Linked DNA regions of Xenopus tropicalis. The protein of the gene in region 1 interacts with the protein of each later gene in a pairwise test. Links are inferred from orthologs where the notes say so. Each region holds a gene or a part of one and is shown in the gene's direction. Other genes may lie near its edges. The genes, in order: ube2k, traip, rnf111, dtx3, marchf3, mipol1 and rnf125.

Region 1 (3,971 bases):
AAGCCAGAAAATTAACTGAACTATGGATATACAGATATAGAATTCAAATCGAGGCACAAGGTATCTCTGGTGGTGCATTTATTTTAAGTAACTGGCACCACCCAAGGTATTAGCCTTTCCTTGTCCTTTAATAACTGTAGTGGCATGTATCATTTAACTGGCTGGCCTTTGCTATATTATCCAGATAGCATCTCTGCTTAGGAAAATGCACACAACCAGTGGCATGAATAGATGTCACTTGTCCCAAAAGAATTCAATTTAGGGGCCCAAATCGTTGGTAAATTGACCTATCCTATCAAGATATAGTAAAACTGCTCACTATTCAGGGCCGTGACATACAGGGAGATTAGAGCTGCCATGACAAATCTCTGTTGTTGCGGGCGACTAATCTCCCCGCAATGCCATCCCACCGGCTACAATGTAAATCAGCGGTAGGATGGCATACGCAGCGCCGCCATTTGCCAAAGTCGCCTTGAGAGGAAATGTCGGTGACTTCGGCATATCGCAGTGCCGTGTATGCCACGGGATGGCATTTGTTGTGGTGCAACTAATCTCCCTATGTGTCATGGCCCTTACTGGGCCCTCTACACTCCAGGGCCCCCCTGCAACCACATGGTCTGCCTCCTTTGTAGTTATGCCCCTGCTTTATTTTTTTTCTAGATAACAGATGTAGGTCATGACCAGTCATAGGACTTTTGAAAAGGAAGAGAACAAAAAGTTCCCATACAGCAGACTAAGCAGGAACTTCTGGATTTCCAATACGAGTCAGGTGACTAATGCATGTTGTGGCATATCTATTTTGCTGAGACAAATGCTTACTAGGGGCAGGTAGTCAGCCCATCCTCTAATAAGAATTGCATAGCTCTGGCAGGCTACGACCTTTGGTTTCATAGAAATCTGCTGCTAAAGCCAAACTTTACAACACTGCACGACTCTTCTGTTTAGCGCTGGGGTCCAGTGACACATCACGTGACTGAGCCCTGCATGAATGGAGCCCGGGGATTCTGTGGCGCGCTGTTACGTCTCATTTGTGGGGCGGGCCAAAGTGACGTGAGCAGGGACCCTGTCAGGAAGTTCTTCCTGTGGGCCGCCCAGACTCTTGTATTGCGCATGTGTCAGGTTCGCCATTTTGCAGTGTACTGTTGTGCTAGGTTTCGTTGTGCGGGGCGGGGGAGGCAGAGCACACAGGGCCGGCACTGCACGGAGGGAGGAAGCCTGGCGTACTTAACGTGCACTGCAGCAATTTAAGGTGACTCAGTCAAGTACGGAAACTGGGGCAATTATGGCGAACATCGCAGCACAGAGGATCAAAAGGGAGTTCAAGGAGGTGCTCAAAAGCGAAGAGGTGAGAGGAGACAGAAGTGCGTCTGGCTATATACAATGAGGGGCAACAATTGGTGACAGTGTGCTTAAGATAAATCCAGTAAACTGCTCTAAAGAGGTAGTATAGAAGGCTGCCACAGCCAGGCATGCCATGGGGAGGGACTATTGGAGTGTATTAGAGACTGATAGGGAGAGGGACTACTTGACTGTATTAGAGACTGCCTTGGAGAGGGACTGCAGAAGTGTATTAGAGACTGCCTTGGAGAGGGACTGCAGAAGTGTATTAGAGACTGCCTTGGAGAGGGACTGCAGAAGTGTATTAGAGACTGCCTTGGAGAGGGACTGCAGAAGTGTATTAGAGACTGCCTTGGAGACGGACTGCAGAAGTGTATTAGGGACTGCCTTGGAGAGGGACTGCAGAAGTGTATTAGAGACTGCCTTGGAGAGGGACTGCAGAAGTGTATTAGAGACTGCCTTGGAGACGGACTGCAGAAGTGTATTAGGGACTGCCTTGGAGAGGGACTGCAGAAGTGTATTAGAGACTGCCTTGGAGACGGACTGCAGAAGTGTATTAGGGACTGCCTTGGAGAGGGACTGCAGAAGTGTATTAGGGACTGCCTTGGAGAGGGACTGCAGAAGTGTATTAGGGACTGCCTTGGAGAGGGACTGCAGAAGTGTATTAGGGACTGCCTTGGAGAGGGACTGCAGAAGTGTATTAGGGACTGCCTTGGAGACGGACTGCAGAAGTGTATTAGGGACTGCCTTGGAGACGGACTGCAGAAGTGTATTAGGGACTGCCTTGGAGAGGGACTGCAGAAGTGTATTAGAGACTGCTTTGGAGGAGAATTACAGAAGTGTATTAGAGACTGCCGTGGAAAGGTACTATAGGAGTGAATTGGAAACTGCCATCAAGAGACTACAGGATTGTGTAGAGACTGCCATGGAAAGGGACTGCAGAAGAGACTACAAGATAGTGGTGTGGGGGTCAGGAAAAAGTCAACCTGCAACTGACCGTATCCCACAAATTGTTGCCGATATAGGATTTGCATTTAAAACACGTACTTGCGTCTTTCTACATTGTTTGCTGCTCTCGCCTTAGGTTCCAAGGAAGGGAAAGTTCAGGAGCAGAGGTGCTTCCCTAGTCTGACCCACACCCAACCTGAACCCACAACACCCCCCAACCCTAACCTGCCTGACCTAAGGGTAAAATGCAGGTTGTGGGTCAACCCGCTCATCACTACTACAAAAGTATGTTAGAGATTGATAGGGATAGGTTTGACATGAGTGTATCACGGGCTGCCATGGAGTTTTTTTTATGGGAGTGTATTAGGGACTGCCTTGGAACGATTTGACAGGAGTTTATTAGAGACTGCCATAGAGTGGGGCTGCAGAAGTGTTTAGAGTCATGTAGAAGGTACTAAAGGATTGTATTAGAGACATGGAAAAGTAGGACAGTTGTGTAGAAAAGACTGCAGTTCCCTCTGGCTCTCCCTTCCAACTTTTTCTCTCCTTATTAATGGCCCTTGAAATCCATTCAGTGAAACTTCAGAAATGAAATCAAAGGGGGATATTTATCAAAGTATTAAACTACAGCTTGCCATAGTCAGCCACAGTGAAATTTCCCTCATTATATTAATTTCTATTCAATTAGTGAAAACATATTTATCAAAGTGTAAACTCATTTATATGTATTGATAAATATACCCTCTAAAGTTTCATATTAATGTATAAAGAGTAGCAGAATTTCACTCTTGCAGACTATGATGACTTCTAGATTCAATCTTTGGTAAATATGTGGCTTCTGGTCATAATCACTGGGTAACTCTGTGAAACAGTGGAGTGCAAATTTGTTAACTGTAACTTTCTCGTGTGCGCTAGATCAAAGGCTGGCATTGCCGCATATCCTCCTGCCACTTTATGGAGAAACTTTCATTTGAGACAGCGTGCTGCCCATTCATTGAGAAGCTGCATCTAAAAATTGTTGCAGTTACAAATTAGGATTAGTAATATCGCTCACCATATTAAGAAATACACATTTTCTAATGTTATAAAGTAATTGCTTATTTCTTCTTTGTCCTCCATTTATTTTAGGTTAAGCAAGGGCCACAAAAGATTTTTAGAAAGTATCATAACATGCAGCACTACACCCCGTTTGTCTTCACTTAGCTTAAGCTGCAGTGTTCACCAGAGGTTTTTAGTGGTCATTTCTGCAATTTTACTTTCTCCATGAGCAGCAGAAGCTCCTAGCCCTGGACATAGGGCTAATGTATTTGATCTGCCAGATGGGTCAGTAGCCTGCTGACTCAATCAAGAATCGCAGCCAGTATTTGCCCTATGTATGGACACCTTAAATTCTGAACCTTTTATTAGGCTGAACCTGGTGCAGCTAGTTGGATTAGAATGCACATAATATCTCAGTGATACTAAGTGATATTTAGTAATACACATTGCTTTTTTTTTTGACGAGGGTCTGCTCAAGTTGTGCAAATAGATAAGTCCAGCTATGGCTACAAGCAGCCACAAAAGCTGTCTTGACTTCTTAGTAGAAAAATATATCCCCTTATTTTATTTTCATTTTCTTTATTGTTGGTGTATTTATTGGAATTTGGTAAATTATTAAAAGGGGAATAACACTCTAAAGTAATTTT
Region 2 (3,945 bases), on another chromosome or scaffold:
CAGATTTTGCGCAACATTCGGAATGGCAACGAAAAAGTCGCGATAATTTTCCGAAAAATCGCCAAATACCGATCATTACGAAAAAAACGCAATCGGATGCATTCGGCCCGTTTGTGAGTAAGTAAATGTGCCCCCAAATGTCTTTAGAGGTAAATAGGTAAGGTTTATTAGACACGTACACGGGCTCTGAGCAAAAGTTAGTCAGTACTACATAAAAAAGACAGCACAGGGTTTATATAGACTTTGTGACAGTAACATATGTCATAAGAAATGTATGAGCATAGGCGTTACCAGTGTACACGCATAGAAATATCTGAAAACAAGGTCTTTGCCAAATAGGTGGGTCTGTCTTCAAGGCTATAGTTGACGTAACTAAGGCTAGCTAGAGAACAGAATCCGCCCAATTTTTTTTACCAGCCAGGCGGCAATATCTGGTACCGCTAGGTTTCAATAAGAGACTGTATTGATCATTAAGAACGAGTGTCTCTCAGTATCGCCTCAGCGATGAAGAACGCAACAGCTGCATATTACAGGGATGCTATTAAACAGCTTAAGTATTGAACACAGATTTTGTTCAATTCTTTTAATTTCACCAAACTATACCGCCAGTTTCTAATAAAAAGACACAATGGGGTATATTTATCATGCTGTGTAAAAAGTGGAGTGAAGCATTATGGGTGATATTGCCCAGGGCAACCAATCAACTATTAGATTTCAACCAAAAAATCAAAGCGAAGCATCTAATTGGCTGCTATAAACAACATTACCAGTGATGTTTTACTCCACTTTTCACACTGCATGATATAAATATATATAAATACAGTGTCAAATGAACACATCCCAGAACACATGGCTTAATATACACAGCGCCAGCTTCAACTATAACGCCCTAAGAACATATAAAAGGCATATACGCCATCACGTAATAACATAATAGAAGTTTTGCGTAAAAGCAATTGTAGTAAGTAACCCGTATTTCCAGAGAGCGCAGTGACGGGGTTAAATGTACGTCATTTCCGCGGGTTTAGCCCTTGACCAATGAGAGGAGACGCAGGTAGCGTACGTGACGTTGCTCTTGCAGCGGCAAAAACAAACGTTGTTGTGGCTGTTGTTCCGTCACGGTGTCCTCGGTTGGGGGAATGTTGTTGTGACTGAGTCCAAGGCGGAGGCAGCCATGCCCATACGTGCCTACTGTACAATTTGCTCGGATTTCTTTGATAATTCGCGGGATGTGGCCGCGGTTACGTGTGGGCACACGTTCCATCAGGAGTGGTGAGAGATTCGTTCTGTTGCGTAACAGCACGGCATTGCCATGGAAACAGCGGGAAAGTCTGGCATTATACATGTCATAGAGCTGTATATATCCCCCAGCATAGGCTGGATTAAGGGGGGAGGGGGCTGCATTGTCAGAGCAATATAAGGAGATAAGTTTTGCTATAGCTGTCAGCTGCTGTGTCCTTGACATAACAACAACCCACATGGAATGGGGAGCAGACTGGCTCATCTCTTGCATCTAACAGCTGTGCAGCCTTTGCCCACTCCATAGCTGTTTGTCACCTCTTATTGCTGTTTTGCATGTATTAGGGTGGCCACACACGTGGCGATCTGACGATGTTTCACACGAAAACATTGTCAGATCCGCCACACACCGTCAGGGCTGAAACAGCAGATAAGGAGATAGAAACAATAGGACTTCTACCTCCTTCTGCCGATTCAGCCCTGACGGCAGATTTTGGTCAGGTGCCTTCTATGGCGACCGATCAAAATCTTTTAACCTGGCCGATCGGCGAGTCGTCCGATATCAGCAGCTTCCTGCGATATGGGTCGACTCGCCGACTTGCCATACACGCACCGAATATCGTACGAAACGAGGTTTCGTACAATAGTATCGGTGCGTGTATGGCCAGCTTTAGGCTGACATTAACATTAGTATGTCTCTTCCAGCTTTCAAATGGGGCCACTGACCCAGCAGCCAAAAACTATTGTTCTTTGAAGTTGCAGGGTTATTTTGTACTTTTTAATACTTATCTTTTTGTTCAGGCCTTCTCCTATTAATATGTGTCTCTCATTCACACCCCTGCCTGGTTATGAATATAAATGGAAGCCTAGCAACCAGACAAGCAGCAGAAATTACAAACTGGAAAGCCACTGAACAAAAATGTATGTCCAATGTATGAAACCCACTTATTCAACAGCGCTGTGGAATGTGTTGGTGCTTTTTAAATAAATGTTAATAAATACTAAAAGCTAATTTAACGACAAACTTTTCCATTAATGACATATCTTATGATACTATGCATTTGCTGCATTCTTAGATTCTAATCAGAGGTCTTTTCAAAGGCAAACGCAGGGGCAGTCTGATGTTTCTGTTAGTTCAGAAAGCTTTGTCAGGAAGACCCTAAGCACTGGCACTAAACCTCTTTAGGAAATGCTTTATGGGCACAGGAACAGATGCCTACACTACACTGTACTCTGGTACTGCTTTGCTGAGCATGGGATACCAGCTAGTTCCAAAACACAGCAACCATTTGTTACCACTAAAGAATAGTAGTGACCCCTTCAGATTAAATTGCAGCAACTTGGCCCTTTCTGCAAGATGTGTCACATTTATTAACTGACTTCTAGCTTGTAATCATATCTGAGCCCAGCTGTTCCTACTCTTTAATGTAGAACTTAAGCCTGTATAACACACTGTTCCCCTCATGGCACCACTGGGGACCCCTTTTAAGCTTACATGTTTGCTATACTTTGTTCTTAAAAAATCTGAGTTGCGCAATGGGGTTGCCAGGATCTCTTCAGGTCCTCCTTTTAGTTATCTTCTGACAGGAGCATGTGCAGTTGAAGCTAATGCAGACCTGGCTTCAATTGCACATTCTTGGTTTCAGCATTCATATAAAAGAGGAGCAGCATGAGATGATGTCTGCCAACACCAGAGCACTACTCTACCTCAAAAAAGGTACAGCAAATGCAGAAGTGGAGGTTGGGGGCAGTGGTGTTTTAAGGAGGGGGGGACAAGGTATATTCCAGTAGACTGGAATCTGTTACAAGCTAGAAGTCAGTCAATAAAATTATAGTTAATGCCCCCTGACATTGTTTTGGCCTAACAAATCTCTTTTGCATTACTTAGCTTGCTCCAGTGGTTTCACTCGGCTCCACATCGTACCTGTCCACAGTGTCGAATCCAGGTAAATTTAAAAAAAACTTTTATCTTGATTTTATTGCAAAATGTCACACTCTTAGGGAACACACTGTATTTGGGTATTTATGGGAATTCTAATTTGTATTCTTGGATATTTTAAGAGCCATAGCAGGGTAGTGAATTGTCTGAAGCTGTTCGGGAACTAACCAACAAAGGGGGCTGGAGCCCAATAACAAAACATAAACATAAGCAGTAGATGGTGAGGGTACCTCGCCAAAAAGTTTACAGTTTATTGATCTGAATTGCACAATATTAAAAATATAAATCACTAGCAGTCCAGAGACATCTCATCTACTCTGACTGTAGGGAAGATTTTCTAGGTTGAATGGCTGAAAATCCTACCAAAGCTTGCAAATTAAAGCATCCTATCTCCCAAGATAAAACATAATTATGAATGCCAGGTATCTTCTGAGCAGTGTGATGCCCAGTATGCATAGGATCATCTAAGTATGTGGCATGTAAAGGTCCCAAAATGAAAACATAGGGATTTGGCATTTACTGCATTTTATGTTTCAGAAACATTTTGCAAAAAAACTAAGTTCACTCCAGAGAACTAATATATATATATATAATATATATATTTTTAAGTACACATTCTGACAAGTGCAGAATTGGTTAATATGAATTTCTGTTCAGCTTCAGTGCTTTACATATCCTTACATGCAAAGATAAAATGTCCTAAATATGGTTACCAATGTGTGTGGCATATGTAGTGACCCCAAAATTAACATGTAGTGCATACATAT
Region 3 (4,273 bases), on another chromosome or scaffold:
GCTACTGTGTATAGGGGCACTGTGTATGGGGGGCTACTGTGTATGGGGCGGGCTGCTGTGTATGGGGTGGGCTACTGTGTATGGGGGGCTATTGTGTATGGGGGGCTACTGTGTATGGGGGTTACTGTGTATGGGCGGGCTACTGTGTATGGGGGGGCTGCTTTGTATGGGGGGGCTGCTGTGTATATGGGGCTACTGTGTATGGGGGTTACTGTGTATGGGGGGGCTACTGTGTATGGGCGGGCTGCTGTGTATGGGGGGGCTGCTGTGTATGGGGGGGCTACTGTGTATGGGGGGGCTACTGTGTATGGGGCGGGCTACTGTGTATGGGGCGGGCTACTGTGTATGGGGGGGCTACTGTGTATGGGGCGGGCTACTGTGTATGGGGCGGGCTACTGTGTATGGGGGGGAAAAACTGGTACTTAGTTATAACTCACTTATAACTGACTGCCTTCTCTCTATATTTGTATTTTAATGTAGGAGTTGCTGTATTGTTTTCCTTAGGTCGTTCAGTATGAGGGTATAGCACATTTGCGTCTGCTCCCGCCATTTGATCTATATAAAAGGGGTATTTTTTTAAAAATGGGGTGTGGTAATTGGGGCGTGACCACAAAAGGGGGCGTGGTCAAAAAAATTTGCCGCGCTGCGCGCGCCAAATCTTTTTGTCCCTCTTTTCATTTTTCAAATGTTGGGAGGTATGCCTTAGTGTGTTCATTAAATGTTTATCCTGTTCGGCCCGTCACCTAAAGTGTGTTTTGGATTTTGGCCCCCTGTGCAATTGAGTTTGACACCCCTGGCTTAGAGGGTCTTCACAAATTCTCAAGCAGAAAATGATGTTTGCCTGTCATTGAGGGTGATGCTACTGTTCTCATGCAGATTACACCGGCTTCAGAACATCCTTGCACTAATCTGTATTATTTACTCATCAACCTTATACTGTTACATTTATATCTTATATATACCGTATGCTGTGGGTGGGTCCCTGAAGTGACAGAAGCACAGAGCATGTGACCTGAGTCAGCAGAAAAGATGGGGCATTGATATTCCCTACTAATTGGCTGCAGTTGTCTTGGGCTGGTGCATAAGCTTAAAATATAATTTACAACATTTCTGCACTACTTAAGTTAAGCTTTAGTTGTCCTTTAAGTGCCAGGACTAGATATGTTCTATTGGTCCAACAGTACAAGTGTCATACCTGAGGTAAAGCTTACTATGGCTTACAAGCTTAAAAGATGTAATGCAAGGGTTCATAAACTAAAAGTCTGACTTTTAGGGGAACGCCTAAAAGTAAATTAGAGTTGCATTTGGGAAAAATATATATATACTCTTAGAAATATATCAGCGAGAGCTGACACCATCTCCTAGTGGTAAATATCCTGCGCACATCAGCGCTACCACACCACGTAAACAACAAGCGAGTCGCTGAGGAGGGAGGCGCTAGCAGCCCACGTGACTGTACCATCCGGGTTTTGCGGCGCAAGCATTCGACGTCACGTGACTCGGCGGCATCTTAGTGTCCAAAGGTAGCTACCTAACATGGCTTCCTTGGCCATTACGACTGATCCAAAGTGAGCTAAAGATTAGGAACCTCGACGAGTCCGGAGTGACTAACGTGCTCATGTCCAGGCTGAAGCAGGTATGTGCTGCGGGGCGGGCTCGCTACTGCAGTCGGGCTTCTCGGGCGGGCCTAGCGAGCTAGACGCTTCGTATTGAGGGAGGTATGATAACTGCTCAACATCGCATCTTTTACATTCATTTCCTGGAAGCCTTGGTTATTTATATATAATCAGGATTGTATTATATCTATATATATATGGATGGTTAATATAGGCTTGACACTAGTATTATTATCTTAATGAATGTGTTCGCAGGCTTCTTGCCACTTATGTACAGTATTTGTATTCATGGCCATTTGTTTTGGTTCTGTATGGTGAAATGTATTTGTACCTGATTAAAATGTAAACACAATTTCTCTCCATGAGCAGCTCGTATTAAGGGAATAACCATCATACATGAAGAGTGCTATTGATCTGGAATAGGTTCCCAGTTAGAAGAGACACAATCTCACAATTACATTTTCAACTTTAAGGGCAATAACCGATAAGGAATTTAGTTGTGCAGTTAAGTGATTTAACTTTTATATCTGCAATGATTCTCATTATCCACAAACGGAGGTAATTTGTAGGCATTTTGCCATCGCTGCAAACCATTGGGGACAAAATGCCACATCTGTCATTGTCCTTAAAGGGAATGTGTTCTTTGGATAATTTCTTGCACTTAAGCTACTTCCTGTTCCTGTGCTTCTTGTTTGGATCTTGTTTTGGATATTCATCAAGGGGCATTTAAAATGATAAATGTTGAGTTGGCAGTGCAGTTACATATCAAAACAAATCGTATCATTACTTTCATTTTGTAACTTATAGGTTCCTGTTCTAAGCTGTTTGGTTGTTACTGGCAGCTACACTTGTGCTGTTTAGTAACTGTATTTGTAAGTAAGCTCTCAGATATTTGAAAAGAAATACTTGCATTTGCATATCCTGGTTAGTTTCGAGTTCTTATTAAAGGACAAGGAAAGCCTGTTTTGCTGAGGTGTACCAAAATGTTAGGAACCCCCCGAGTTGATTAAATCACTAAGTTTTTATGCAGGCCATTGCTCCTTTTCGGTGGAAAATGTACCAGCCCATGGAAAAACTAAGGGGCCCATTCATTAAAGCACGAATTTTGGGTGGTGAAAAGCACGATTGGAAAAAATGTGGAGTAACCACAATAATTTCTGATGTTTGAAAATGTCAGTTTCTTTTCCCGGTCGTAAGAAAATATCGTGGTTGCGATCCGAAAGTCACAACATTTTTGGATCCAAACAATCGTAAATGGCGCGAAAACCTTTCTGGCTTTGAAACTTCAATGCATGATTTTGGAAGCCTTCCATAGGACTCAATGGCACTCTACAGATCCAACCTGGCCAAAAGATAGTCACTATACCAAAGCTTGAATGAATTCCGCAATGGTCGTAGTCTTTGCGAAAAATATGACTTTTTCATGGAAGTTAACGAAAAAGTATTGCAGTTTTAATGATATTATCGTGGTCATTATGAAAAGTTCTATAAATTAGAAAAAAAAAAAATTCTGAAAATAAAAATTTGTGCTTTCATAAATGGGCCCTTATGTGTTGGCCTAGTGTTTACTTACCTTGCAGTCATCGGCTCATTTTAGGCAGAGAGAAATACATCTGTTTGGAAATTAATAGTCTTGCCTTTACTAGTAATCTATAAAAAGAATATTAGTATTTATATTGCTATGCAACATGTGACATTTAAGATCTTTTCTCCAGGCCCTCAACTATGTCTAAATATTGGACAAAAAGCAGTTATACAAAAGCTTTGACATGTAGGTGAATAATGTTCTATAATTCATACAAATAGAGGAATGTGGTCATTTAAATAGCTTAAAGTGCCCCTGTCCCAGACCTTCAGCTTAAAGGAACAGTTCAGTGTAAAAATTCAACTGGGTTAAATGGATAAACTGCACAAAATAAAAAATATTTGCAATATAGTTAGGCAAAAAATGTAATCTATAAAGGCTGGAGTGGACAGATGTCAGCTCTCTAACCTCTTGGTTAGTCAGTGACTTTAGGGAAAGGGGGGGGGGGGGGGGGTTTGGCACTTGGGACATAACTGTTCAGTTAATTTGTGAGTATGCAGGTCGGATTAAAATGCAAACTAACTGAACAGTCATGTCCCACATCCCCCGCCCCCTTAAGTTACTGACTGCTAACAGCTTAGAAAGCTGTAAAGGAGGAAGTAGTGATCTGGCCATTATGTTGGACATCTGCCTGCTCCAGCCCTTATAGATTACATTTTTTGGCTAACTAACTTTATTTAAAACATTTTTTATTTTGCGCAGTCTATCTATTTTACCCAGTTTAATTTTTACACTGAACTGCTTTAAGGAGATATCCAGTTTAAATTTTACAAAGATAGACTGGCACCAAACTGGACCACAATCAAATATTGCTGCTTAATAATTTCATAAAAAGTTTCAACACCTTTTAACAGTGCTGGGGAGTTTTGTGCCTACATGGGGCACTTAGTCATAGGTTTAAACGTCTTTGTTTCAACTCGTATTACTTTTATATGAAAGAGGCAGCAATCGCATATATCTGTTACAGTATTTTTGAATTGTAGACACCAGCAGTTTCCCAACTCCTGAATTCCTCATTTATGATCCTTTGTATCTAAATTCTAGTGTGTTACTCTGTTAACCATCCTTATTC
Region 4 (2,432 bases), on another chromosome or scaffold:
TCCACTCACACAGTAGATATACAGCAAAAAAGGCATTAAATTACTTTAAGGAGAGCGGCCAGTGCTGAATACAAAGGCAAAATGTTTTAGAACATCTAAAGGCACTGTCATTTTGCTTATCAGCCTACACCTGTTCTGATTTGAATAAGTGTGGTAATTGTTTAAAGGTTTCACGATTCATCAAATCTTCTCAACAATGAAATGGAGGCAAAGCTGAAAATGTTCATTTTAATTCCGTAAGAAAAAATTATACAGGCTTGTGTCAGAATTCCAGCCACAATCATCTGATTTTTTTTTAAAATGAAGGTTTCTTTTAGATTTGTTACCTACTTGCCCTTCACTTACAAAGCATACGTTCTGGAAAATGTATTAGGCCTGATTTACTTTACAGCTGGGAATTCCCCCAACCACAGGCAGTACCAGAAAGATTTATATCAATGACAAGATCTTCAGAAAACAAAGTCACAAGCATGAAATTGCTTTTAGCTGGAATGCTGATGTTAAAAAAAACTTTTCCAGTCATTCTCATGAACACTGACACATATGTGCTCTCTTTAGCGTATGTTTATGGGCATAATTGCGCAAGCTGTAGGTATCACCATTCAGGAGAAATTTGTGTTGGTTCCAATTTCACATAATAAAATCATTCATGAAGGCACTGCCTAGAATTACTGGCTGGATGTTTACAGTTTGTTGCAACATTCTCATTAGTTGGGAATAGTAACTCACACCAAATGTCTGTTTGTTCATTGCACCATTTAAGGGACCATAACTCTGTTGGAGCTGTTTGTAATCATTTCTCTTTCAGGCGCTTCCAAAATTTCACTTTTAAGAATTGGTGCCTTCTTTGTAAGTTGTCATCTTAGATTTCTAGGGCAAATCATTAAGTTAAGATGGAATATTGCATGCCAATGAATAACCATAGAGTTACACGAGCCAGCCAGAGGCCAAAGACCAGGGCAATTCAAACTTGGGTGGGCAACCTACTGATCATGTGTTCAAACATATTTTAGAGCTCATTGACAATGGAGGGGGCAAGGTGCAAAAAAATTATACAAAGAGCTATGTTTTAACCGCACGCTTCCTTGTGGTTCGCCTTATTGTGCTCCTGAAATGGACCGCAGAGAGCTGCGCCTCACTCATTGTCTAAGTTTTTAGCAATGCAGGGTACATCAGAAGCAGAATGTATAATAAAGTAGTAGAATTCTTAATTAATCAGATGAAAAAGTGGGACTGGCCAGACCGGGGATTACTTTGACATACAAAGTTGATAGTAAGTACAGGTATAGGACCTATTATCCAGAATGCTCAGGACCAAGGGTATTCCGGATAAGGGTTCTTTCCATAATTTGGATCTTCATACCTTAAGTCTACTAAAAATCAATAAAACATTAAATAAGCCCAATAGAATTTTTTGCATCCAGTAAGGATTAATTATTGTTGGGATCAAATACAAAGCACTGTTTTATTTTTAAATAGAAAAAAGAAATCAATTTTAAAAATCTGAATTATTAAAATGGAGTCTATGGGAGACAGGCTTACCATAATTCGGATCCCATACCTGTACCTTAAAAAAAAATACACACACACACAATAAGCATTTTGTGCCTCCCTATTGTTAATTTTATCTGTAAATGTATAGAGAAAGCTAGCACAGAACCAAAAAAAAAAAAACACCTTGCCTAGTGGTGGGAGAGGCCCTGGCCAGTAGATCTTTGTCCATTAATTGGCTAATGTAACTAAACATGTATGTGTGCTCTTGGCTTGATCCCAGGAGGCGGCCCTTAATTCTTAAAGGTGCAATTTTCTATTTAGGGTTACCCAATAGGACATACTGATAAAAAGTATATTTTTATGAAAATGATTTATTTAGATGAAGCAGGGTTTTACATATGAGCTGTCTTATGCAATATATTTTATAGAGACCTACATTGTTCGGGAGATATGGTAATATAGGTTCTTTTTATGTCCTGTTAATGAATAATGCTAACACATGATGGAATCTATAATTCCATATAAAAATTAGATCCCCTTTTCTGTCTGACGGACTGTGAGCAGCATAGAATGAATTTACCAATATATCATTTCTTTTCTGCAGTCAGAGCACCCCAACCCTGGAGTAAGGTATCCGGGAACAACACGTGTGGCTTACTTGCCTGATTGCCCTGAGGGAAACAAAGTTCTAACGCTATTTAAGAAAGCCTTTGACCAACGTCTGACCTTTACCATTGGGACTTCAATGACTACAGGGAGGCCCAATGTCATAACGTGGAATGATATTCACCACAAAACTAACTGCACAGGAGGACCACAGCTGTAAGAACCCTTTGGATCCATCACTAATTCCCTCTGCCTGTCATGTTAGCAACTGATCCAAATTTTTTAAAAAATTGTTGCAAAAAAAAAAAAAAAAAAAAACAAACATTTTTTTT
Region 5 (3,500 bases), about 130 Mb from region 1:
ACTATTTTTCCCAGCATGCATTTATTAATGCTGGTTATCATCATAGCACTAACTGCTATGCTATATTTTTATGTTTGGATTAAAATGAATAGTCTCCATGCTATATTTTTATGTTTGGATTAAAATGAATAGTCTTTTCCAATCACTCATCATATTCTCTTTAGGGGATTCCATATGTCTGTGCTTTTGAGCTGCCCTATGGCTGCTTTATTCCTGCAGGATAAATGTAGATCCCTACAGCCACAAGCCAAGGCACACAAGTTCCTAAATAAATGCCAGGCTTATCCACCTTTTCCCTGAGAACTTAGATGATCAGTTCCAGACATGCCTCAGTGCTTACTCCCATAAATACACGGAGCTACCCAACATTCCTGCTTAGCATCTAGTAGATGTGTGCTGTAATAGAATAGGAACAGAGCACTGACTGATCTGACAGCATTAGGCACAGTACAAAATGGTACATCATCTTATTGCATACAGAAACCTAATGCAAACTGTAGCTTTGTTCATATTTAAAGAGCCTTACTAATCTCTCAGTTAGCAATGCACTGCACCTAATCATATTTCCATGGCTATATAAAGAAATGCCATTTTAAAAATGAGACAGCCTAGATCTTTTCTTTTTATTAAGCTTAAAATCTCCCAGCCTGCCGCATACATAGATGCTGCTAAAGCCTGTAATGCTTTTTGACATGCATTCAGAGCTGGAGCATAAAGGCCTGCATGTTCTCTCAGACAACAGAATATCTTCTTTTAAACTGTTGGCATAGGATTTTAGAAGAAGCATCAATCTCGCTGGTGTAGTTTAAAACTATTTTAACTAATTAACTAACTAACTATAAATTCCATATCTCACAAAAGACAGTGCTGTATAAAGGGCCCATAGCATGAAAGAGCCAGTAGTACAATGAAAATTCACCTATGTCTAATCACTTCTTCTGCATTATCTGTAGATAGCTTGGGTGTCTGCATTAAGAAAATAGTTTATTTGCAGGAAACATGACCCAACCTAATACCATGTATGGATCTGTAATCCAGAATGCTCGGGACGTGGGGTTTTCCAGATAATGGGTCTTTCCATAATTTTGATCTTCATACTTTGTCTACTAAAGAATAAGATAAACTTTAGATAAACCCAATAGGATTATTTAGCTCCAATAAAGATTAATTATATCTTAGTTGGGATCAAGTACAAGGTACTGTTTTATTGTTACATAGAAAAAGGAAAATAGTTTTAAAATTTTGAACTGTTTGGTTAAAAAAGGGTCTATGGGAGATGAGATGACCTGTAATTCGGAGCCCTCTGGATAACAGATCGCATACATGTATATCTAATTTCCAGAGTGTGTGTGGAGTCAATAATGGACTTTGCCCATGTGGAGCACAATGCGTATAGGGAGCCCAGTACTCTGCACTGAGTGTCTGCTCGAGGCAGGTACAAAGTAAGCCAGAACATGCTGCACCTTTTGCCATGTATACATTGTGCATATAGGGGAAAGTACCTTCCTAAATTCTACTTTTAAGGACACAGTTCTCATCCTGTTATTGAACCATGCCCTGTGTTTAAATGAGCCTTCTATACTGCTGCAGCTTGGTAATAGACACTGGAGCCTCTTGTTGTGGCATCTCAGGAACACTTTGTGAGGTATGTGTACTGAAAGCACTGAGAACTCCTATTGGAAGCTTGTCTTGTCATGTATATGTAGAAGACTTTTTTGCATTTTTTTCTTGCGACATTGTGTTGTAGTTAGTTTGCTGTCTGCATTTGTGGGCTTCAGAAATGTGCTTGCTGTTATGTTCCCCATTCTTTTATGCTTACTGAAGCTTATCCAGGTGTCTTGTCCTAGCTCAAATCTGGGGGCAACATAAGAACAAGGATCACTGGCAGAATGGACTTATGCACCACCTACCTGGCCGACTGTCAAGTGTCTATCCAAAATGACTAGTGATTTGGCTGACTGCCCCAAGCTTAATAAGATGTACTTTATACATTTATTTACTTCAATATATTGGTGTGAGATGCAGGGCCTTCCTTTAAAAGGCACAAGAGAGAGAAAAAGAGAAATTAAAAATTATTTTCTGACTTAGAAAAGGGTTTTGGATTATTTGGATTAGATTGGCCTACAGCATATTCTAAAGATGCTTTAATGTATTTGTATTTTTTAAAATTAAAAAGAATACTGTGATTGTAATTTTACAAATACAATAAAGTAAAAAAAGCATTCTTATTGATGGGTTCTGTGACCCTATACAGTATTTTGTTAGTGTCGGGCAATGTTAGGCCCACTGGGAACAAAGTTGCTGCTATTAGGGGTCCAAGTCACGCTTGCATCTAGTTTGTGTGCTCAGGGGATCACCTGGAATAGCAAGTGAATTATTTGGAAATGCCAAGCCAGAAATAGAACAGCGCTTTTCTTGCTGCCATTTCTATATTTTCATCTGCAGAGCAAATCACAAATCTAATTTTCAGCCATAATTTCTCTCTCCACAGCTATCATTGTAGAACTACCTCAGAAGGATCATTTTCAATAACAAATTTGCTTCTTTCACAGCAGCTTCAATGACCGCCCAATGTGCAGGATTTGCCATGAAGGAAGTACCCAAGAGGATCTCCTTTCTCCATGTGAATGCACTGGAACGTTAGGAACAATACACCGAAGCTGCCTGGAGCACTGGCTTTCCTCCTCTAACACCAGCTACTGTGAACTCTGTCACTTCAGGTTTTCTGTGGAGCGCAAACCTCGGCCCTTAGTAGAGGTCAGTAAATGCCCAGCAGCGGGAATGTCCATTTACTAATGAATTCTCTTTATTTTGATATATTAGAATATTCTTATTAGGCACACCATTTACCTGCTAGTAAATATATGAAATACACATCATTTCCTATAAATTACTGCTTTCTTTTAAAAAAAACTTCAGATACCACAGCAGCTGCTCATCCTCTAATACCACTTTTCAGTGATAATGATAATCTTATTGATATGCTGATTTTCGGCTTAAAGTGCTGAAAGTGCTGTACAGATGCAAAATAAAAGAACACCATTATAATAATCTGCTGGGCGTGCCTGTAGCATGCTTTCTGATGGATCACTGAGGAAATCAAAATGCTGTAGAAGAATGCCATGCGGTTTTATTTCCATGGAAAATGTTGAACTGCTCACATTAGGGAAGGGCTACGCATGACTTGCTGTTACAGTGACCTGGGATTTCCCAAAGTATCATCCAAAAAATGCACCCACTCACTTTGTGCTAGAGAAAGCAAAAAGTAGAGTCTTTTGTATTGAGACAGAAGTATCATTCTACAGTTCATTTGAACCCTACAGGAAAATGCGTGATGCCATCCTCACTCACTGCTTAAAGGATAACTAAATTTTAAAAATGAAGTGGGCTAGAAATGCTACAGAAAATACCTTACCCCAATTATAGTTGTGGTTTTGAACCAGCCAAAAGCAACCGCAGCCCTTTATCAGGGAAGAGTTGTGCCTGCAAAGATGCCCCAG
Region 6 (4,249 bases), on another chromosome or scaffold:
AATAACAAAGTAATAAGTGTTTATTGAACATCCACAGGGTTTACTCACAATACAGCTTCAGAGGCCATTGGTACATGCAACACATACCGAGTGTATATTCAGACTCACACTCTCCTGCGGGCAGACTGGCAGGAATCTCCCTTCACCTCTGCGACACACCCTGTAGTGGATCCCTCAGGGAATTCTCTATCCTGATTCCCTATTCACTTGGATCCCTACACTACAGGCAATGTGGCCTGGGAGAAATATCTCCAGAAAAACTGCAAATCCTATGCAGGAGCTCAATGCTGCTCATTCTAGCTCAACCCTAACTGCCTTACACTCCTAGAGTGTACTATAAAGGGAGCTACACCTGCCACTATCTAATGCCTCATTCACGAGGTCCTGTTCCCCCGACATTACTGGGCCTGGGCCCATGCCCTGGGCTCTCAGCACACATCCACCTTGTCCCTAAGGTGGAAGCAAACAACAGGAAGGTGCCACTCCTCTCCCAACACTATACCAAAGTCACGCAGGATGTGGTCACTATACCTTCTAACCAATAGCACACATATTAATGAACTCACTTAGATACATTCCCTTCTGCCCAGCAACTAAGGGAACTAAACCTGTAGGGATTTAAAGCCATGGGGACCATTTAACCCTATGGGTCCCAACATTTGCTTTGTGTGTCTGGGTAGCTAGCGGCTTATAAGCAGTGACTAGTAAGTTACCAGCAAACTCTGCAACCAAGGGTCCCAGAAAAGATCTACATCCCCTGGCACCATCCAACCATGCTGTCAAATCCATTAGTTCATGGGTGCAGAAAGGATAGTGTCATAGCAATGGGGGAGGGGGGCACCCCAAACATTTTTCTGCAGGGCCCCAGGAGATTGAAGTTATGCTCCTAATTATAATGGCTTGTGTTATCTTGAATTATTCTCAACAAGACGTGCTAATAAAACAGTACTCCTGTGTGGCTTTCCAGCTTCATTATAACTCCCATCATCCCCTGATGGGCAGCACCCTGGCCTGCATGAAGATGCCATGATAATATCACAAAACATGTCTATTAATTAAAACGTATATAAATATCAATGTGGCTCAGCTAATTATGGGGTGGCTATCAGCTTTCGTTATTAGATTAGTCATACTGGAGATATATAGAGTTAATGAGAAATACATATATTATTACCCATAAGCTGTTTCTCTCTGATTGTTACTGAGCTACATACAGAAATAGAGTAAATAGCACTCACAGGTACGCCGTCTTTAAACCCAGTGGGAGCTAGGCACAAGCATCCCCCGCCCACCCTGTGCCCATGCAGCCACACCGGAATACAAGTAGGAAATTAGAGGGAAGCAGGAACAAGCAGGAAATTAGAGGGAAACCACGCTTGAACGCAAAGAAAAGCCTCTCTGCTATCAAAGCGCCATCTAGTGAGCAAATGCGGAAACGACAACTTAGTGGAATTAAAAAAAAAACTTTATTGAGAAAAGCGGAAGACGTAAAGACCAAAGTATATCACGTTTGTGATTTACATGTATCTGATGTGTTACTCCGCAGTCGATTTGTGCTTATCTCTTATTTTATTTCGCTAAAGTGCAAGTTGCCTCTTTGATCCGTAGGCAGCATTCTATCACACAGAAAGGTTTCTTGCGTTCCACTCTGGTTTTGCTTCGACTTCCTGCTTCTTGTTTTCCGGTTTGGAAGAGTGGATTGGTGCATCATTTAGGTGAGTGCTGCTTTTTTGTCTAAGCATATATTTGCGGAGACCTGAGCACTGCGGGGAACGGTAAATGTATGGGCAGTGGGAAAGGGTTTTTATTTGTTTTTATAGGGAATGGATAACCGTGCGGTGAGGTGAGCTAACAGAAGCCAGTCCTGGGTGGAGGATACTGCTCCCCTTAAAAGGCACAAAGTTTGCCCTGGTGCAGGAACCTATAGCAGCCAATCATATGTTTGCTTTTAAACAGGTGACCATTAAATGTTACCTGCTGCATGGTTGCTGTAGGTGACTAGACCTGTTGCAAACCTAAAGCTTCTAATACATAACCTTGGTATCTGTTCACTTGTTCTTCAAAACTGGTTTGCAGCTAAAGTTAAAATGCCGCTCAGTGTGTGCTGGAAGTGGCTGCAAATCCACTGAGATGTGCTGCTGATACTTCTACTGTCTGAGCTGCTTACCTGCACCATGCATATATAGATTGTAAGCTCTACGGGGCAGGGACCTCCATCCTCTTGTGTCCTCGACTCTTAACTTATTGCAACTGTAACTGTATCTTGTATTTATTTGTATTTATTTTTATACTTTGTATTTATCTATTATCTTATTAACCCCCTGTTTGTATTAATGTATTCTACTGTACAGCGCTGCGTACATAAGTAGCACTTTATAAATAAAGATATACATACATACATACCATGCAGCTTGCAACACCACATTCACATCCACATGAAATGATAATATAAGTCTATATCATTAGTTATAGCGTGACTTTTCCCCTGTTCTAAACATGTTTCATTGAATTACATTTATACAATTCAAATTCAATCATATTATTTACCTACAAACTGTATTTCTGTAGGCCACCAATAGGTGTCAGTGTTTCCCTCATGATTTTTATCTAAAGACATGCACTGTATATTGAATATGTTTTATGAAGTAATAATGACCATCAGATCAGGCAAACCAGGGAAAAGGCATCCATAGGCATATCTCACATACTTTATGTTCAAGTGTGCCATCTGCTATATCTTTTTAATCACATCACTTTTGTCACCACTTTTATATGATTGGTTTAAGCAGGTATCAACATTCCCAGATCCTAAATTAAATTAGATGACAATCAGTGAGGAGACTATTCCCTATTCTGACTGCTGTAGATAACAGTAAAAATGGGATAATTTTTTGTGGCCAACTGCAGACTGAGATCTGATTTGGCCCAGCACGTGGGTGCTGACCAGGGGTGTAATTATAGAGTAAGAAGACTGTTCGACTGGTGAAAAATGTTTTACATTGAAAGTTTAGGAAAGGGGTCGTAAAATGATCAAGCAGTAACTTCTAGTATACCACTTGCACCAATGCACCAATAACTGTTTGCACACCGGTGAGTGCTCATTTGCTGCCAGGGATACAAACACTTTAAAATGAATGTACCCAAAAGGAAACAATTGCATAACAGATGCTTTAACTAACTTTGAACTACACAGGCCCACCCTTCTATGGATCTGGCAGATAGTCATCCCCTGTGTGCAGTTGATAGTAAAGGGTTGGGGGGAAATCTAGTTCTGAAACCTTTTTTTCTTCTTTTTTAAATTTCTTTTTATTTCAGGTACAATAAGGAACAAACACAGTCCATGCAATAAGCGAATAGAGACACCTAACAGTGTAAATCTAGTACATTACACCATGGGAAAAACTGCAAGTTAATAATGTACCATTAGAAATCTACACTTGAGCAGGCAAAGGGGGATGCAAGATTAGAAAAGGAATTAGAGAAGAAAAAGGGAAGAATACAGAGAAGCAAAGAAAAAAATAGGATGGTTAAAAAAGAACCTGAATTCGATCCCCTTGGTACATACCCCTTCTTAAGGCATAGCCAGATGGATAGGTGGATCTTGCAACACTGGTCTACTTTCATACCATGGTTTAAAAGCAAATGTGGATTTGTATTTTAAGATCTAATGGCAAGGTATCAATGTACGTTTAGTGTACGAGTTATACAAGAGCAGTAGTAGCCTCTAACACATATCTAGAAGGTTTTTATATGTGGCTGATCTCATAAGCAGTGGAACAGATCTCCTGTTGTGCATTTTGGGCAGGCTGAGCAAACATTTAGGGGCAGATTTGTGATTTATCAAGCCAAAAGTTTGCCATTGTAATAAACCCATGGAGATATAAATGTGGTCAAGTATAACTAATTAATGCATAAGCTCCTGTGATGTGCCGAAAGGTGGAAGTCATCTAAGCCAAGGCTGTCCACCTATAGGCCTGTGGGACAGATGTGGCCCTTTAAGGAATTTTTATGGTCCCTACTCTGCTCCATAGACTTCACTGTATGACATCTTCATTTTAATTCATCTGGCCCTCCAAAATGTTGTATGAGATATAACTGGCCCACTATTTGTAATGTGTTGGACAGCACTGATCTAAGCCATTGTCACAGTCTACAAGGGCACAACCCACTTTAAAAACTAACATTTTTGGCCTGAGAATAATAAAAACTTTGTGTATTTATGTAAGAAACAAAGCAATAGTCTCTTATG
Region 7 (3,500 bases), on another chromosome or scaffold:
TTCAGGCATCAAAGCAAATGTCCTGGGTAAGCAAACAATAAATAGTTTAACATTTTTAAAGTAGTAATTAAACCTAAAGGTTAGAATGTTTGACATGAAATACACTGGACAAGATAATTTACTAACAGTTAAAACTAAGGGGCAGATTTATCAATATACGAGATTGGAGCTCACCACAGAAAAGTTTACCCACTTTTCATTCCTATGGGATTTGAAGAAGTTTATTTAATCAAATTGTGAACTCTAGCTTTCACCCATTGATAAATACGGTTTTAAAAATCCCATAGGAGTGAATAGAAAGCAGGTGAATTTTTCTGTGGTGAGCTAAATATGCCCCTGAACTTTGCCCATGTGAATGCTATTCACAAAGGAACTTGCATGAGTGCTTATGATTCATATCACAGCAGAAGCTGGTTCTGCTTTGCTAAGTAAGGTGCATAGCACAAGTATACGAAAGTACACATCAGGTGTGCCCTGGAATTAAAGGGTTAGTTCACTTTTAAAAAAGATTGACAAATCACTTGAAAATTCAGGGGCACTTCTAATAAACACATCTTGCAGGGCATCACAGATTGCTTTTGATTTAAATTGTAATCTGTGCAGCCAAATACATTTACTCTTCAGCTTATGCCACACTACGCTTGAATCAGCATTCTTCTGTGTCTGCACCTGGAGTGGATTTTGGCTACTAACCAGTCAATGGTTTGAATGAGGGACTGAAAGATAAATAGAAGAGGGTGAAAAAAGGAAAGAAAAGTAATAAAAAGTTACAGTAAAATTATTGCCACAGAGAGCAAAAGTTTTTTGGCTGCTGGGGTCAGTGACCCTCATTTGAAAGCTAGAAAGAGGCAGAAGAAGCAGCTAAATGGTTCAAAAGCTATAAAATGAATACCAATTGAATAGTTGCTAAGAATAGGCCATTCTATAACAGACGAAAGATGAATTAGCTCTTTAAAAACTGCATGGAGTAGATGTTATTTGCAGGTCTCCCTTCATGTATTGCACCTACGAACACAAGTGCTTTATACCTAAAGAATTGTATGTTAATGCCATTTTCGGCACTGTATGCGTTTGTGTGCTGGAAATCCTATTCGCCCCACGAAGCAACAAAGCAACCTGAGCTTGACAAACAACATGTGTAAGTTGTGTCACACAATTTTAAGGTGCCCACAATTAAGCAGAATAAGTAATCATGGTTAAAAGACATTCCTTCTGCATAACGGACCCCATTGGTCTGTATGTGCTTACTAAAAATTACCATCTTATTTCCTTTGTATTTTTAAACTACATTTTTTTTAACAGTAATTAAGCAGTTTTGTGCTGCAGAATAGAAAATGTTATTGACCCTGACAAGCTGCTTAAGAACTACATGTCCCAAACGGATTGTATTATTCATTGATTTTATTCTCTTCATTAAGGTTTTGCCAAACTTGCATTAAAGCTAGTCTCCGGAATAATACATACGCCTGCCCTTACTGCCGCACTCACCTATCATCTGAAGGAACCCTGGCTGTGGATATAATGAAGAAGATGAAGACTGTGTTTCAGAATTGTGAAGAATGTGAGGAGAAGGTACAAAAAATATCTTGTATATGAGAAGCAAGTGCTGTGTGCTAAGTGCTCTAATGGATGCAGTTATTTACACCCAATGCAGTATTTTACCTAGAAATCACATCATTGGTATATTTTATGTTTATGTTTTTTTGTATTTTCAGTTTTGTTATTTTTTTATGTTTTAGGTGTGCCTGAGTGATATGAGGGCTCATTTAAACATGTGTGAGCAATACATAACAAAATATGGTCCCCTGGAGGAACTTGGAAGAACTACGTGCAGGTTTGATATTTTTACTTCCCAATAATACCATTCAGCAGACTCAGCAACAGCCCATTTGCTACCCATAGCCAATCATTTATGTCACAGAGTGCTGTTAGCAGTGAACCAAAAAGTGGCTGTTGAAAAAAAACAATGGATGGATCAGTGTTCTTAATCTGATCAGTTGTGCAAATACAGGTGCATTCCTATGCACACACACCTGCCACTGGGAATTAGCCCTCAATTCTCACTTAAGGAATCCTTGTCAGTGATTGCAGGTTGATAGTTTATATACATTAATCCCCAATTACTACCTAACGACCTTTGGGACTAAGGTCCTAGTAAACAATATGTTAACATGATAGCATAGGTACGGCATGTGCAGGCAAACAGAGAACAATTTGTTAATTTAGAGCTTAAATTGAATATATGCTTTATAGAAAGATGCTAGAAACACAGGTGCAATTAAAGGAATTAAACCCGTGACACTGTTTCATGCTTTACATAACTGAGACCCTGTTCACTTCTGTTTTTAGAGATGAAATGTTTGCATGCCCATTTTGCCACCTGGAATTTGACGAAGATGGCCTTGTGCAACACTGCTTTACCTACCACAGCACAGAAAGCAGACTGGTGGTAAGTACCTTCATATTCTTTTTAACTTTCCCCCACAACAGGGGCTTGAGTAAAATAATGTCTTTTTGTTGACTATTACTTGACCATTGAGTCATGTAGACCTCTTTTATAAAGAGCTTAAATATTTTTTTTAATTACATTTTTGTGAACATGCCACTGTATTTTGTGCATTGAAAGGTAAGATTTGTTGCAATCTGTTATAATAAATTTACTTTTGTAAAATTTTAGGTGTGCCCAATTTGTCGCCTGATGCCTGGAGGAGACTCAAGTTATACAATGAGCTTTTTGAGGCATCTTCATGCAAGACACTCCATATACTATGAAAATTACATAGTAAGAGCACAATTAATTGGTTTATTGCAATATAAAACTGGCAATGGCTTTAAGACAAGCAGATATCCTTTTATATTGAACTATAAGTGGAATGTTTAATGTTAACATGAAGTTTAGTGTATCATACTTTATAACAGAAAAAGCAAAAGAACATATGCAACATGTACAATAGTGTTATTTAGATATGATGTTATGGATGTTGGACTAGGGTGTTTAGGGCCCCAACTTCAAGGACCCACAGCCCCTACCCTTTCACGAAACACTGCACCCCAGCAATGTCCACCCAACCCAATGCACCATGTACCTTGTACTTCCTCCTTATCCTGACAACTTGCAGCTGCTGAAAAACCTTTGGGGGAGCCTGTAGAGATCATGGCAGGGAGCGGGCCTAGGTCTGACGGGCCCATAAGGGCTGAGGCCTACCAGGTTTTCTCCTAATGTTCCACTGGCCCATTCTGATCCTGGAGCCACACATTGAAACAGTAAACTGAATCTCAAGTTTTCCAGCCCAGGTCAAAAGTAACATGCCACCTTGCCTTTTTACTTACAGCCAGGAGCTTGCCATCTTAAGGTCCCCATACACGGTAAGATCCGCTCGTTTGGCGAGATCGCCAAGCGAGCGGATCTTCCCTCAATATCCCCACCTACGGGTGGGCGATATCAGGGAGCTTGATGTTAAAAAAATAAATAATCTGATCGTTTGGTGGCAATAGGGCAG

The links.
Region 2: the proteins of ube2k (region 1) and traip interact in binary tests that used the Homo sapiens proteins (3 or more experiments, as listed by UniProt). The link is inferred for Xenopus tropicalis from reciprocal best matches to the Homo sapiens genes UBE2K and TRAIP.
Region 3: the proteins of ube2k (region 1) and rnf111 interact in binary tests that used the Homo sapiens proteins (3 or more experiments, as listed by UniProt). The link is inferred for Xenopus tropicalis from reciprocal best matches to the Homo sapiens genes UBE2K and RNF111.
Region 4: the proteins of ube2k (region 1) and dtx3 interact in binary tests that used the Homo sapiens proteins (3 or more experiments, as listed by UniProt). The link is inferred for Xenopus tropicalis from reciprocal best matches to the Homo sapiens genes UBE2K and DTX3.
Region 5: the proteins of ube2k (region 1) and marchf3 interact in binary tests that used the Homo sapiens proteins (3 or more experiments, as listed by UniProt). The link is inferred for Xenopus tropicalis from reciprocal best matches to the Homo sapiens genes UBE2K and MARCHF3.
Region 6: the proteins of ube2k (region 1) and mipol1 interact in binary tests that used the Homo sapiens proteins (3 or more experiments, as listed by UniProt). The two-hybrid records come from large-scale screens. The link is inferred for Xenopus tropicalis from reciprocal best matches to the Homo sapiens genes UBE2K and MIPOL1.
Region 7: the proteins of ube2k (region 1) and rnf125 interact in a two-hybrid assay, tested with the Homo sapiens proteins (2 studies listed by BioGRID and IntAct). The link is inferred for Xenopus tropicalis from reciprocal best matches to the Homo sapiens genes UBE2K and RNF125.

Annotation. Positions count from the first base shown.
Region 1 is NC_030677.2:36,220,906-36,224,876, forward strand, and holds the start of ube2k (ubiquitin-conjugating enzyme E2 K), read left to right. Parts: upstream 1-1,171; 5' UTR 1,172-1,282; coding exon 1,283-1,345; intron 1,346-3,971. UniProt on the Homo sapiens protein: Accepts ubiquitin from the E1 complex and catalyzes its covalent attachment to other proteins. In vitro, in the presence or in the absence of BRCA1-BARD1 E3 ubiquitin-protein ligase complex, catalyzes the synthesis of 'Lys-48'-linked polyubiquitin chains.
Region 2 is NC_030680.2:126,179,261-126,183,205, reverse strand, and holds the start of traip (E3 ubiquitin-protein ligase TRAIP), read left to right. Parts: upstream 1-1,145; 5' UTR 1,146-1,174; coding exon 1,175-1,272; intron 1,273-3,127; coding exon 3,128-3,185; intron 3,186-3,945. UniProt on the Homo sapiens protein: E3 ubiquitin ligase required to protect genome stability in response to replication stress.
Region 3 is NC_030679.2:99,170,622-99,174,894, forward strand, and holds the start of rnf111 (E3 ubiquitin-protein ligase arkadia), read left to right. Parts: upstream 1-1,473; 5' UTR 1,474-1,636; exon of another isoform or gene 1,637-1,718; intron 1,719-4,273. UniProt on the Homo sapiens protein: E3 ubiquitin-protein ligase. Required for mesoderm patterning during embryonic development. Acts as an enhancer of the transcriptional responses of the SMAD2/SMAD3 effectors, which are activated downstream of BMP.
Region 4 is NC_030678.2:140,823,432-140,825,863, forward strand, and holds part of dtx3 (probable E3 ubiquitin-protein ligase DTX3), read left to right. Parts: intron 1-2,098; coding exon 2,099-2,316; intron 2,317-2,432. UniProt on the Homo sapiens protein: Regulator of Notch signaling, a signaling pathway involved in cell-cell communications that regulates a broad spectrum of cell-fate determinations.
Region 5 is NC_030677.2:168,227,726-168,231,225, forward strand, and holds part of marchf3 (E3 ubiquitin-protein ligase MARCH3), read left to right. Parts: intron 1-2,555; coding exon 2,556-2,757; intron 2,758-3,500. UniProt on the Homo sapiens protein: E3 ubiquitin-protein ligase which may be involved in endosomal trafficking. E3 ubiquitin ligases accept ubiquitin from an E2 ubiquitin-conjugating enzyme in the form of a thioester and then directly transfer the ubiquitin to targeted substrates.
Region 6 is NC_030684.2:108,842,435-108,846,683, forward strand, and holds the start of mipol1 (mirror-image polydactyly gene 1 protein), read left to right. Parts: upstream 1-1,449; 5' UTR 1,450-1,715; exon of another isoform or gene 1,716-1,775; intron 1,776-4,249.
Region 7 is NC_030682.2:111,864,566-111,868,065, forward strand, and holds part of rnf125 (E3 ubiquitin-protein ligase RNF125), read left to right. Parts: intron 1-1,418; coding exon 1,419-1,572; intron 1,573-1,739; coding exon 1,740-1,834; intron 1,835-2,349; coding exon 2,350-2,449; intron 2,450-2,677; coding exon 2,678-2,782; intron 2,783-3,500. UniProt on the Homo sapiens protein: E3 ubiquitin-protein ligase that mediates ubiquitination and subsequent proteasomal degradation of target proteins, such as RIGI, MAVS/IPS1, IFIH1/MDA5, JAK1 and p53/TP53.